Linked DNA regions of Caenorhabditis elegans. The protein of the gene in region 1 interacts with the protein of each later gene in a pairwise test. Each region holds a gene or a part of one and is shown in the gene's direction. Other genes may lie near its edges.

Evidence for each region. The genes of interacting proteins can lie anywhere in the genome.
Region 2: the proteins of W04E12.4 (region 1) and Y71A12B.11 interact in a two-hybrid assay, tested with the Caenorhabditis elegans proteins (one large-scale study listed by BioGRID).

The regions. Positions count from the first base shown.
Region 1 is NC_003283.11:19,741,364-19,747,205, forward strand, and holds W04E12.4 (Kinesin-associated protein 3-like), read left to right. Parts: upstream 1-2,278; 5' UTR 2,279-2,301; coding exon 2,302-2,370; intron 2,371-2,421; coding exon 2,422-2,454; intron 2,455-2,722; coding exon 2,723-2,812; intron 2,813-3,348; coding exon 3,349-3,405; intron 3,406-3,451; coding exon 3,452-3,502; intron 3,503-3,556; coding exon 3,557-3,646; intron 3,647-3,822; coding exon 3,823-3,882; intron 3,883-4,124; coding exon 4,125-4,358; 3' UTR 4,359-4,390; downstream 4,391-5,842. Other genes in the region: W04E12.3 (uncharacterized protein), read left to right, coding at 588-608, 743-949; W04E12.5 (TPR_REGION domain-containing protein), read left to right, coding at 4,789-4,851, 4,904-5,002, 5,379-5,414, 5,472-5,555, 5,599-5,664.
Region 2 is NC_003279.8:13,975,937-13,981,649, forward strand, and holds Y71A12B.11 (RNA polymerase sigma factor RpoD), read left to right. Parts: upstream 1-2,493; 5' UTR 2,494-2,510; coding exon 2,511-2,560; intron 2,561-3,244; coding exon 3,245-3,328; intron 3,329-3,384; coding exon 3,385-4,111; 3' UTR 4,112-4,194; downstream 4,195-5,713.

The DNA.
Region 1 (5,842 bases):
ATTTAAAAGTTTAAAAAACAACATATGAATAACCTTACATCTATCTTGAAAAGTCAGTAATTTCTATTAAAATATATAGAGAAAATAGAAAAAAATTTCGAAAAAGCACAGTTTTAAGGGTAACCGTCTTTTGAAAAATCCTTTTAGAAACTTCCAGCAAATTGGCAAACCTCAAATCGGCAAATCGGCAAGTTGCTCGAATTGAAAATTTCCGGCAAGAGAAGTTAGTAAACTTGAGAAGTTAGTAAATTCTATTAAATAGAAAAAACGGGAACAAAATTTTTTTTTTTCAATTTTTTGCAATTTTGCGGTGATCAGGTACTTGAAAGAAAAATCTGAAAATCTAAAACTATTATATCTCATTTTCAGATGTGACGTCATACTCTACTTGCTCAAAAATTCGACATCCACATTGGCTCTTCACTTAAATTGGCTTTTTTTGGGCTTTCTTCAATGAATTCTTTTGTTTTTAAATTGAATTTAATTCTTTTGTTTTACGTGAACATGTTTTCAGTTTAAAACATTTAAAACAAAAAATCGATATTTACAAGTTTTTTCTGATTAGAATTTTCAGAGCTTTGCCTAAAATGAGTGAGCTTCAGGAGAAGGTGATTTTTTTTTCTTGTTTTTTTTTACTGAATTTCACAGAACTTGCCAAAAATTGTCCGAAAACTTGAAATTCACGCTGAAAAAATTGACTGAAAATTTGAATTTACCGCCAAAAATTGATCTAAAATTTCAGGAAGCCCAGTGTAATCCACGCGAAGAAGAGGAAAACGAGTTTTCGGATTTGTCTGAAAATTCTGAAAATCTTCAAAATGACACGGAAATTGTGGAAATGATGACGTCACGGACTTCTAAATTTTGGCTCATTGCTCCGATTTTCATTGCATTCGTCTTGTATTTTGCTCTTTTTGAGCTCAAAATTATTGAATTTTTGGGATTTTAATTTATCGGTTTTTTTTTCTGAATAAATTTTCTGTGTAGTTTGTAGTGTTTGTAGTCTACAGGCCTGCCTACCTGCAGGCAGGCATAGTTTGTGAAGGTTTAGAATAAATATGATAAAATAAAATTTCACGTGAACCCGCAAAAATACCAACAAAAATGATGATTTGAAATTATTTCAATGTTTTCCTGATTTCTAAAGGTGAGTCTTTTTCAGAAGGTTTTCCTCTTTAAAATTCCAAATTTTCAGCTATAAAATGTCTGAAAAAATTTTTACGATGAGGTAGGGTTTCATTCCGCCTAGCGCCGCCCAAAAAATGGCAAATTTCAGAAGGATTTGGACCCGACCCTCCGCGAATTCCGGCTTGACGGGTTGGCTCAGCAGGCGAGAAGGGTGAGCGAAAGGGGGCGGAGACAGGTAGAGTGCACTACAGTTAGGACTTTACGTTAGTTACGTTAGTTAGTTTACGTTAGTTAGGACGCCTACACCGCTGAGGCAGATGGAAATTACAAAAAAGCTCGGGAGCTTTTGAAAAAAGCTGAAAAGTACGAGACTGAGGCGGAGATTATTCACGAGGTATGTCGTCTACAGTAGTCGTTGGGCAGTTTTACAGTACCCCTACACAAACCCAGCGTTCCTACAGTGCCCCTATAGTACCCATACAGTACCCCTCCCCTACAGTACTCCCCCCCCCTTCCGTATCCATACAATAACTCTGCACTTTGCCTACAGTACTAAAAAAGATTTTTCAGGAAGTTGCTCAAACCTGGAAAGCATCCCGAATTTCGCGAGAATTCTCCAATTTTCAACTGATGATCTTAATTTCTTCTCCGGTGCTTTTAACGATTTTGTTCTATTTCGTCTATAATCTTAATAATGTTTTTGTTCTTAGTTAATAAACGCGCATGCACACCTACAGGACCCCTACAGTATTCTCACCGTACCAGTACAGTACCCCTACAATAAGCTGAAAGTGGCTCTACATTAGCTCCGACAGTACCCATACAGTATCCCTACAGTGTACTTCTACAGGCCTACAGTATACATGCAGTACCCTTAAAGTGGCTCTACTGTACCCCTCATCGTACCACTACTTTATATCCTACTCCTACAGTAAAACCTGTTCCTTTACATTAGCCACTACAGTACCCCTACAGTACGCCTACAGTACCCATACAGTAACTTTTGCGTAATTATGTAGATACTGCAGTTTTAACTGCAGTTTTTAACGTGAACCAGAATTTTAACAAAAATAGGGAGTTTGTTGGATCCACGTGGGCATATTTGGAACTTTTTTCTCGAATTTTAAATTTGAAAAAAATTTATTTCGATTTTTGACGGTTGCTTCGAGTAAAATGCCAAAAACTGGACAAGCAGTTCCTGCAAAATACAAAAATGAGACTTGGGACGATATTCTGAACGAGGTTAGTTTGCATTTTTTGCAGTTTTGCGCCCAAAAACTGACTATATTTCAGCTGATGGAAAACTCTGAATACTGGATGGATATGGTATGGTTTTTTTTAAATTTCAGCTAGGGCTTCTATGTGGGAGCCGGCCTTCGAGGCGCCTCAACAAGCCACATTCCAAGCCACATGTATAGAGTGCGGCGCGGAACCCCAAAAGCATCGGCCGCTGCCAATTAACTGCAATTTTGCACTACTTGGCGCCGCCTCACGCTGCCACTCGTGACACATGTACAGAGCGGCGCGGGAACCCCGAAATTGTCGGCCGCTCTCACATGGAAGCCCTTATTTTCGGTAAAACGGCTCTTTTCAGACTTTGCCGAAAGCCGAGCAGCGAAGAAATTATGAGAAGATGGCGGAGGTTATGAGAAGAATTGATGTGTGCCGGGAGAGACAGAAGGCGGTTAGTTGAGGCAGTGAGAGCCCAGACAGCTAGACACTCTAACTGTCTGCGCTCTCGTTATTTGAGAAAAAATCAATAACTTTTTTCCAAAAAAAATGGATTTTTTTCACACATTTTATCGATTTTTAAGAAATTAACTAGAGCTTTAGTGTTTTTTTTTTTGGAAATTATCGATTTTTTTTCGGTTTTTTTTTGTTGAAAATTTGGAAAAAAATCATTAACTTTTTTTTCCAAAAAAATTGATTTTTCACACTTTTTATCGATTTTTAAGAAATTAATTATAATGTTAACTTAAAAAATCGATAATTTTTTCGGTTTTTTTTTGGAAATAATTATTTTTTTTGTAGAATTTTTACGTTTATCGATTTTTAGCGATGTTTTTTTGAAAATTTGGAAAAAACTCAATACACAAATTTTTTTTTGAAAATTATCGATTTTTTTCGAAATTTTTACGTTTATTCAAAAACTGTTCAGAGTGAAAAAAAATGTTTAGACTAAAAACCCGTATTTTGTACAACAAAAAATCCAATTTTCAGACGCTGCAAAAACTGAGAAATCTGGAAAAACTTGTGGAGCAAGACGAGAATGGCGCGGTAGGCTTCAAAAAAGCTTTTTTTTTTAGATGTAACTGAATTACAGGAAATTTCGGAGGAAGAGCAAGAGATGTTAATGATGCTGAAATTGGATCAAGTAAGAGATTTTAAAAAATCCCAAAACTTCTAGAACTACAAGACGAATTTTCAGAATGCTCATCAAGCAATTTTGAATCTTCGCAACTCGGATTTGGAGGGTCTTGACCCGGAAGTCAAAGACACAATTATGTATTTTAGAAAGGTGAGCTTTTCCTGATTATGATAATATAGCTTTTGTAGATTTTGCTTCAAAACTGACAGAGTTACGGCTATTTTTCCAAGAGAGGAAAGGAGGAGAGAGAGAGCGCAGACGACGATAGTATCTCGTTTCTCTGTTTCTCTCACCTCGCTTTACTTCTCTCACTTTCATATTCTCAGATCGAAATGGAAGACGAGATAATTGGCCAATGGGTGGCGGATGATTCAGATAATGACGAAGTAAGTGTTGAGAGGGGCGAGAGACCGTAGACAGTAAAACACTCTAACTGTCTGCGGTCTATCAAAAAAAAACGAGGGAATAAGCCTTAGCTGAAGCCTAAGCCTACGATCAAGCCAAAACCTAAGCCTAAGCCTACGTCTAAGCCTAAGCCTTAGCCTAAGCTTAACCCTAAGTCTAAGCCTGAACTTAAGCCTGAGCCTAAGCATAAATTTAAGCCCTCAATTTTTGTGAATTTTTCCAGAACGTCAAAAACAGCCCCACTTCTGAGCCTGAAAGCGATGATGGCACCGACTCGGACCTCGAATCTGAAATTCTCGAGACTGATGAGATGGATGACGTCACTACTTCTCCACAGATAACTTCATCAGTTCCAAAATTCGCTCTCATCTGCATTGTTCCAATTGTTCTTGCAATTCTTCTGTACTTGGCGCCAATCGATTTTTCGAAACTTTTCAATGGACTCTATGAGAACTAAATTCTACTTGTTGATATAAAAAATTACTAGAGAATTGTTTTTTGGTTTCATTTTTTCGCCTACCAAGACTAATCTTGGTCAAATAAGAGCTTACCCTATTGTGCATTCTAAAACAAAAAAGTCAATTTTGAAGCAAACATTTTTAGCATACAGGCCTGCCTACCTACAGGCAGGCATTCTTCGTGCCTACAGTAATGGCTCAGAACAAATTTTCTAAAATGAAATTTCACGTTAAACCCAAATTACCAACAAAAATGATGATTTGAAATTATTTCAATGTTTTCCTGATTTCTAAAGGTGAGTCTTTTTCAGAAGGTGTTTTTTCTCTTTAAAATTCCAAATTTTCAGCTATAAAATGTCTGAAAAAAATTTTTACGATGAGGTAGGGTTTCTTTCGGTTTAGCCCCGCTCAAAAATCGGCAAATGTTAGATGGAATTGGACCCGACCCTCCGCGAATTCTGGCTTGACGGGTTGGCTCAGCAGGCGAGAAGGGTGAGCGAAAGGGGGCGGAGACAGGTAGTGCACCTACAGTTTTGGACTTTAGGACGCCTACGCCGCTGAGGCAGATGGAAATTACAAAAAAGCTCGGGAGCTTTTGAAAAAAGCTGAAAAGTACGAGACTGAGGCGGAGATTATTCACGAGGTATGTCTACAGTCAAAAGCCTTATAGTAATAGTACAGTACCGCTAAGAAATCAGTTTTTGACTGTAAAAAAAAGTCTAAAAATTAACTGGAAATTCAAATTTCCTGCTAAAAAATTGAATGCAATTTTGAATTTCCCGCTAAAAATTGTCTGAAAAATTGAATTTCCCTTGAATTTCTCATCAAAAATTAATTCTAAGAAAATGTCTAATTTAAAAAAAAACGTGACCTTTAAAAATGTTGGAAAACAAGATGGAAATCATCGTCACTGCGTAGATTTTAGTTTGTTTTGTTTCTTAGCTGTGGTTTCGATCAAAAATGTTGTCAAAAGTAAGCGTTTTTCAGAGGTTTTACTGATAAAAGGTTATAAATTTTAGATGGCAAAATACCCGGAAAACGAGAAAAATGATGGGGTGAGGACAAAAATGTTTCGACAACATTTTTTTTTTTTGATTTTCAATATTTTTCAGGCGGCACAAGAACAAACGGGCCCGGATGAGATATTCCCATTTGCTCCGGGAACCATGTTTATGGCTAAAACAACAGATGATCTAGTAAGCGAGAATCTACAGTTTTTGAGAATTTTGAAATTTTCAGAAATTGATTCTTGAAATGCTGGGAATGGATGAAGAAACGAAGAATTTTATTCTTAAAGATAGAGAGGTATGCATTTTTTTTTCTTGAAAAAGTAATAGTTAAACACTTTAATTGTCTGCGGCCTGTGAACAAACTAAGGCGCCTAAGCCTAAGCCTCGGCCTAGGCCAGATCTTAGGCTTAGGGCCTAAGACTAAGCCTGATCCTAAGCCGAAGCCTAAGCTTAAGCGTAAGCCAAAATCCCAA
Region 2 (5,713 bases), on another chromosome or scaffold:
CTGGTAGGAATGACAAGCCTATCAATATCAGTCATATCAGACACCTTTAAGAATATATCCAGCTCAAAACTGTGACAACGAAAAAAAAATTTTTTTTTTCGATTTTTTTCATTTCTTTGTGAAATCAAAAAGTTTACATGCCTTGAGGTATTAGACAGTTAGTTAATTACAATTGAGCAATAACAGCTCCAGACGCCCTTTTTTGGTAGCGCTAGATATGTTTAAAGTGCCAAAAGAGCTAGATTACAACATTATTTAACAAACGCATCAATAGCTACATTTTATTAGTTGATCACTTCTTTGAATATGCACTGGTTGCTGAGCTACGATGATTTTTGTGGAGCTGGTCCAATTTTTCAAAACCCTTTTCTATTCACTATATGACCCGTAACTCCAAAACCAGTTGACCGATCGAAAAATGAACAACTAACAAAACATTTATCTGTTTATTATAAACATTTCACAATTTAAGTTTTTTTTTAAATGTATCTCTTGCGGACAACGATATGAGTCACTTTAGGAAATGTGTGAAAATTTGAAAAAAATTTCGAAAAAACATTCAAAAAAAATTGAAAGGAAATTTTTTCTTAGATAAACTTCTAAATACTTTTGAACAATACTGTGTACCTGCTAACTAAAAAATTGCATTTAGTTTTCCTAGTCTACGTTACTTTTTGGGGGAGAAAAATTCAATTATTGAACAATTTTCCTATTTTTTCAAAAACTACGAGTATTATTTTTTTAATGGCTATTAACTTTGCGAACATAAGTAATATACAAAATGTACAAATAATTAAATGTTTATAATAAACAGATAAATGTTTTGTTAGTTGTTCATTTTTCGATCGGTCAACTGGTTTTGGAGTTACGGGTCATATACTGAATAGAAAAGGGTTTTGAAAAATTGGACCGGCTCCACAAAAATCATCGTAGCTCAGCAACCAGTGCATATTCAAAGAAGTGGTCAACTAATAAAATGTAGCTATTGATGCGTTTGTTAAATAATGTTGTACTTGATTACTTTTTTGTATCTTTCACGTGCTTCAAGTTAACGCTGCTCAAAGTTAAAAAAGTCATTTTTGCAGGCACTTTTGGCACTTTAGACACATCTAGCGCTACCAAAAAAGGGCGCCTGGAGCTGTTATTGCTCAATTGTAATTAACTAACTGTCTAATACCTCAAGGCATGTAAACTTTTAGATTTCACAAAGAAATGAAAAAAGTCGAAAAAAATTTTTTTTTTCGTTGTCACAGTTTTGAGCTGGATATATTCTTAAAGGTGCCTGATATGACTGATATTGATAGGCTTGTCATTGCTACCAGTCTTCTATATAGCTACAAAAAATATATGAACCAACTCCGTCACATTTGCGGTCGCCGGAGCCGTGGGAATGACTATGCTTCATCATTCATCGAAAATCCGTGCAAATTGTCGCTTTTGGAAAACATTCCGCGCTCTAGTTGCCGCCAAAAATTTGTCGCTCAAGGTGTCCGTGGGGAGGGGATGGAAGCTAATCCAGTTTTAGTTTCAGATTCTTCTGTTTTTGGTTTTAGTGCTCCAGATTTGTCAGCTTGTGATTCTGTTGGTTCTCGATCTGCTCGTGAAGTGTTCTCGTCGGTTGCCGGCAATGCTCGGAATGCTACTTGTGCAAATATAACTACGATTCATGTCACGGAGAGCAAGAGTTCGTTGAAGAAAAGCCACAGAAGACGTCGCCGTGTGGCTAAGAGTCGCCAATCATATACTGCTGGAAGTTCGCCAATCAAAGAAACCCATCTGGACCCCCTGCTGGAATCCGATGTTGCGAGTGACGGCGAGCGTTTACAACCCGGCATCCTCCTGTGTCATTCTCTTCGACAGAGCCACCCACGACAAGTTGTGCGAGGATCAGCCCCAAACACTGATCATGCCTCCACTCGCCGCAGAGGTCGAGATACCGCCTCTGGTGGTGATGCCCCTAGCCCAGGCATAATTTCTGGCTTTTTGTCATATAAGAGGGGAGATGTTGTGGACGGAACGTAAACCTGAACTTTATACAGACGTGACCTTTGGGTCATCATGAACTTATCGCGTAAGCGACCTCTCTTTATAATTCATTACTTCTTACACTTCTTGTAATAAACTACTTCTCTCCTTGTCTCTCGCTCAATACACAACAGTTCATTGTTTTATCGGATAGCCTGTGAAAACATGAACCTTCCCGGCTAACTGGTGTTGCTGTGTTTTTTTTTTTGCAAATCGATAAATGTATTAATTAGCGATGTACCTGAAAATCCGAACAGATCAAGATGAAAGTAACATCTGCTCTTTTCCCACATCTTCCTAGTTCATACTGGTCCCGCCTACATGGAGTACGACACCTGGTCAATTTGCGCGTTCTGTTTCCCTTTATTGGGGTCTCTCATTTTTTACACAATATTCTTGTTTTTTTCACTTTATTTTTTCTTTTTTTTTTGGTTTTTGAATATCCGTGTAATATTATTATTTTACAGAAACTCGTTAAGTCGATTATGTCCAACGTTCCAAAGGCAGACAGTTATTTGGAGAGACAAGAGCATGGGTTAGTATTTTTGAATTTAATAACACTTTTGGCTCACATTTTGTTGAAATTGTCAAGTTCATTTTTAAATGTTTGCAGTTTTTTCAAGATTTCCCAAGCCTAATTGGAAGATTTTTGGAAGATTCATAAGACTATTGGAAAGTATTGGAACCAAATCTTCGGACCGAGAATTTGAAAATCTAAACCTAAGGAACTAAGCCTTCGTGATCCAAGCCTAGGGACCTAAGCCTACAAATCTAAGCCTAGACGACTAATTCTTAAGACAAAAGCGTGTTAATCAAATCATAGGGGTCTAGATCCAGGGCTCCTGTGGACATATGCCTCCGGATTTAAGCCTAGGGACCCAAACTTGAGAACTAATCCTAAAAACCGTGGACTGAAGACTTAAGCTTAGTAGTCCGAACTTGGGAAGTAAGCCTGTGAATTTAGGCGGCCAAGGTATCTAAGCCTAATAGTAAGGGACCTAAGACTAAAAACCTAATTCTAGAAAATTAAGAATTTGCGCCTAATCATAAATGCTTAAGCCTAGGAACCTAACGGACCCAAGCAAAACGATCTAATAGTAGGCCTATGCACCTAACCCTAGGGGCCCTACTGAGCTAAACTTAACGATATAAGCCGAGAGACATAAGCCTAGTGACCTCTGAATTACACTGTAAACAATCCATAGATCCACTTTTTCAGTTCAACTCTCTCCGAATTCATCCAATCCTTCGAGGAACAATACAACATCAGCATCCAAGAACTGATTGATCTTGCGAAAACTAAGTAAGTATCGAAAACTTTTTGAAACTATTATATGATCCTAAATTTCAAATTTCCAGTGCTGCCACCACCAAAAAGAGCACAATGTCCAGTGAAATTCAAGAAAAACTGGATATTTTAAAGAAGCAAGATGATCAACTCCGTGATGCTCTTGACGAGGAGCTGAAATTTCTTGGAAATGATGATCCACAGGAGCTTGCTGGTACCAATAAGGAAGTTACAGTGGATGATGCCTTGAAGTCGCCCGAAGCATCTGATGATTCGGAGTCAGATGCATCCGACGAATCAGAGTCAGAATCTGAATCCGAGGATGAATCGGAGTCGGAGGGTTTTGACGAATCTGAAGATGAAGAGGAAGTACCAAAGGAGACGGGTACATATGCCTTTGAATCAAAGCCCGAAGCTTTAGATGATTCGGAGTCAGAAGCCTCCGACGTATCAGAATCTAAAGATGAATCGGAGTCAGAGGGTTCCGACGATTCTGAAGACGAAGAGTATGTAGAAGAGACGTGTACAGATGCCTTGAATCAATTGGAACCAGAGTCCGATGCGGCTGATGAATCGGTGGAAGAAGAGGAGGAGGAAGACGAGGATTCCGATGATTCCGATGATTCCGATGACTCCGAAGAAGAGGAAGCAGAAGGATCAACCGCCCAAGCTCCAGCAGAAAAAGCAAATTCGAGCACAACCACGACCGACCAGAACATAGGAGAGCTAAGCGACATGGAAGTCGCGGGACTTGTGCTCTTAGGGATTTTGATGATTTTACTAATGGTCTTTTTTTAATTCATTGGTTTTTGTTTGAATTTGTTTGAAATTGTTTTGTTTTCAAAGTTTCCATGTTTTTGTTCAATCAGCAATAAATATGCATTGCTCGCAATTTTGGAGTTATCTTTAAAATGTCTTGTTGGTTTAAATGCTCCTAAGCCTTCATCGATTTACACTGTCAACTTTGAAATAAAAACGCCTTGTGAGGTGTCCAATCTGTGATTTCCTCGAATTGAGTGGGAAGATCACACGTAAGAAATCTCAAAAGGCATTTTTTTTTTGGATTTAGTAAGAGTATAGCTGTGAATAATAAGTTGTGGAGTTTCGAGGCTGTATGTGTCACGTTCTAAAATCAACAAGTCCTAATTAGCCTTTGCACTTTGCCTAGTGATGAGCGACAAGAGATATTCGTGAGGTACGAGAGATATCAAAACTAATGACAGCTTTGGACTTTGCTTATTTAAAACTTGTGACTTGAAGCTGAAGTTTCACGTGGTGTCAGGCTGTCCCATTACGGCTTGATCTACAAGAAATGCGGGAACTTTTCTCCCAGACCATGCGCAATCAGTTGAGAACTCTGCGCCTCTTCTCCCGCAATTCTCGTAGATCAAAACAAAATGGGACTTTCAGGAGTTTCAGGAGAAACTTCAGGTTTTTTATGACTCAACTGCTTGAAAAGTTGAAGTTGCACTATCCAGTAAAGCTTAATGCCGAAAAGAAAACCCGCTACTGAAATTGTTAGGTGCCACAGTTAGACATACTTGGGACCTTTTTGACGAAGTCTTGGAGTTCTGCAAAACTGCAACCTAAAGTGTGACCTTCCTTAAGAAGAAAAGAAAAGCCTGTCGAGGTTTCCAAACTATGATTTTATCAGTTTGAGTGATAAAATCATGGCATGAAGACCACAAAAGGCCACTCTTTCCAGTAATCAGCAGGGGTAATAGCTAGATATGAATAATAAGATATGGAGCTTCAAAGCTCTGTGGTTGTGGAAAAGAGAGACGCAGAAAGTGCTAGAGTCACGTTTCAATCAATGAATTTTAATTAGTAACGAAAAAGTAACGACGTGATAAGGGATAAGATATGAGGAAAAGAGTGAGATTTGCTGCTGGGTTATGTTATAATGAACAATGCAATCCAGATCCAGAATACGTAGCTAGAATTTGTGTGAGACATGAAAAATGTTGAGAAAAAATTTCATTGTATTTGAAAGCTAGGGGGCGTGCTTTTATATAGTTTATCGGATCATTTGATAGTGGTGAGGTGACAATCTGAAAAAAAAACAAGATTTGAAATTATTCAATTTCCTGATAAAAACCAATTTTTTTGGCCAATTTCCTCAAAAAAAAGGTTTTTTTTATTTCAAAAAATTCAATTTCAACATTAATGAAATTTTGTGAAATCTGCTAATTGGCATGTTTTTCATATCAGAAACCCAATTGAAATCTATGACTGTTACTGAGAATTTTAAAAAATTGAAGTACACATGTTTTACATATGCAAACTGTTATATCTCAAAAGAAAAAAAACATTGTTTTTTGAAGATACCCAATTACAGCTCGTACTCTTGCAAGTAACTCCACTATATAGACTAGACTACATACGTAATGGTGAATCAAT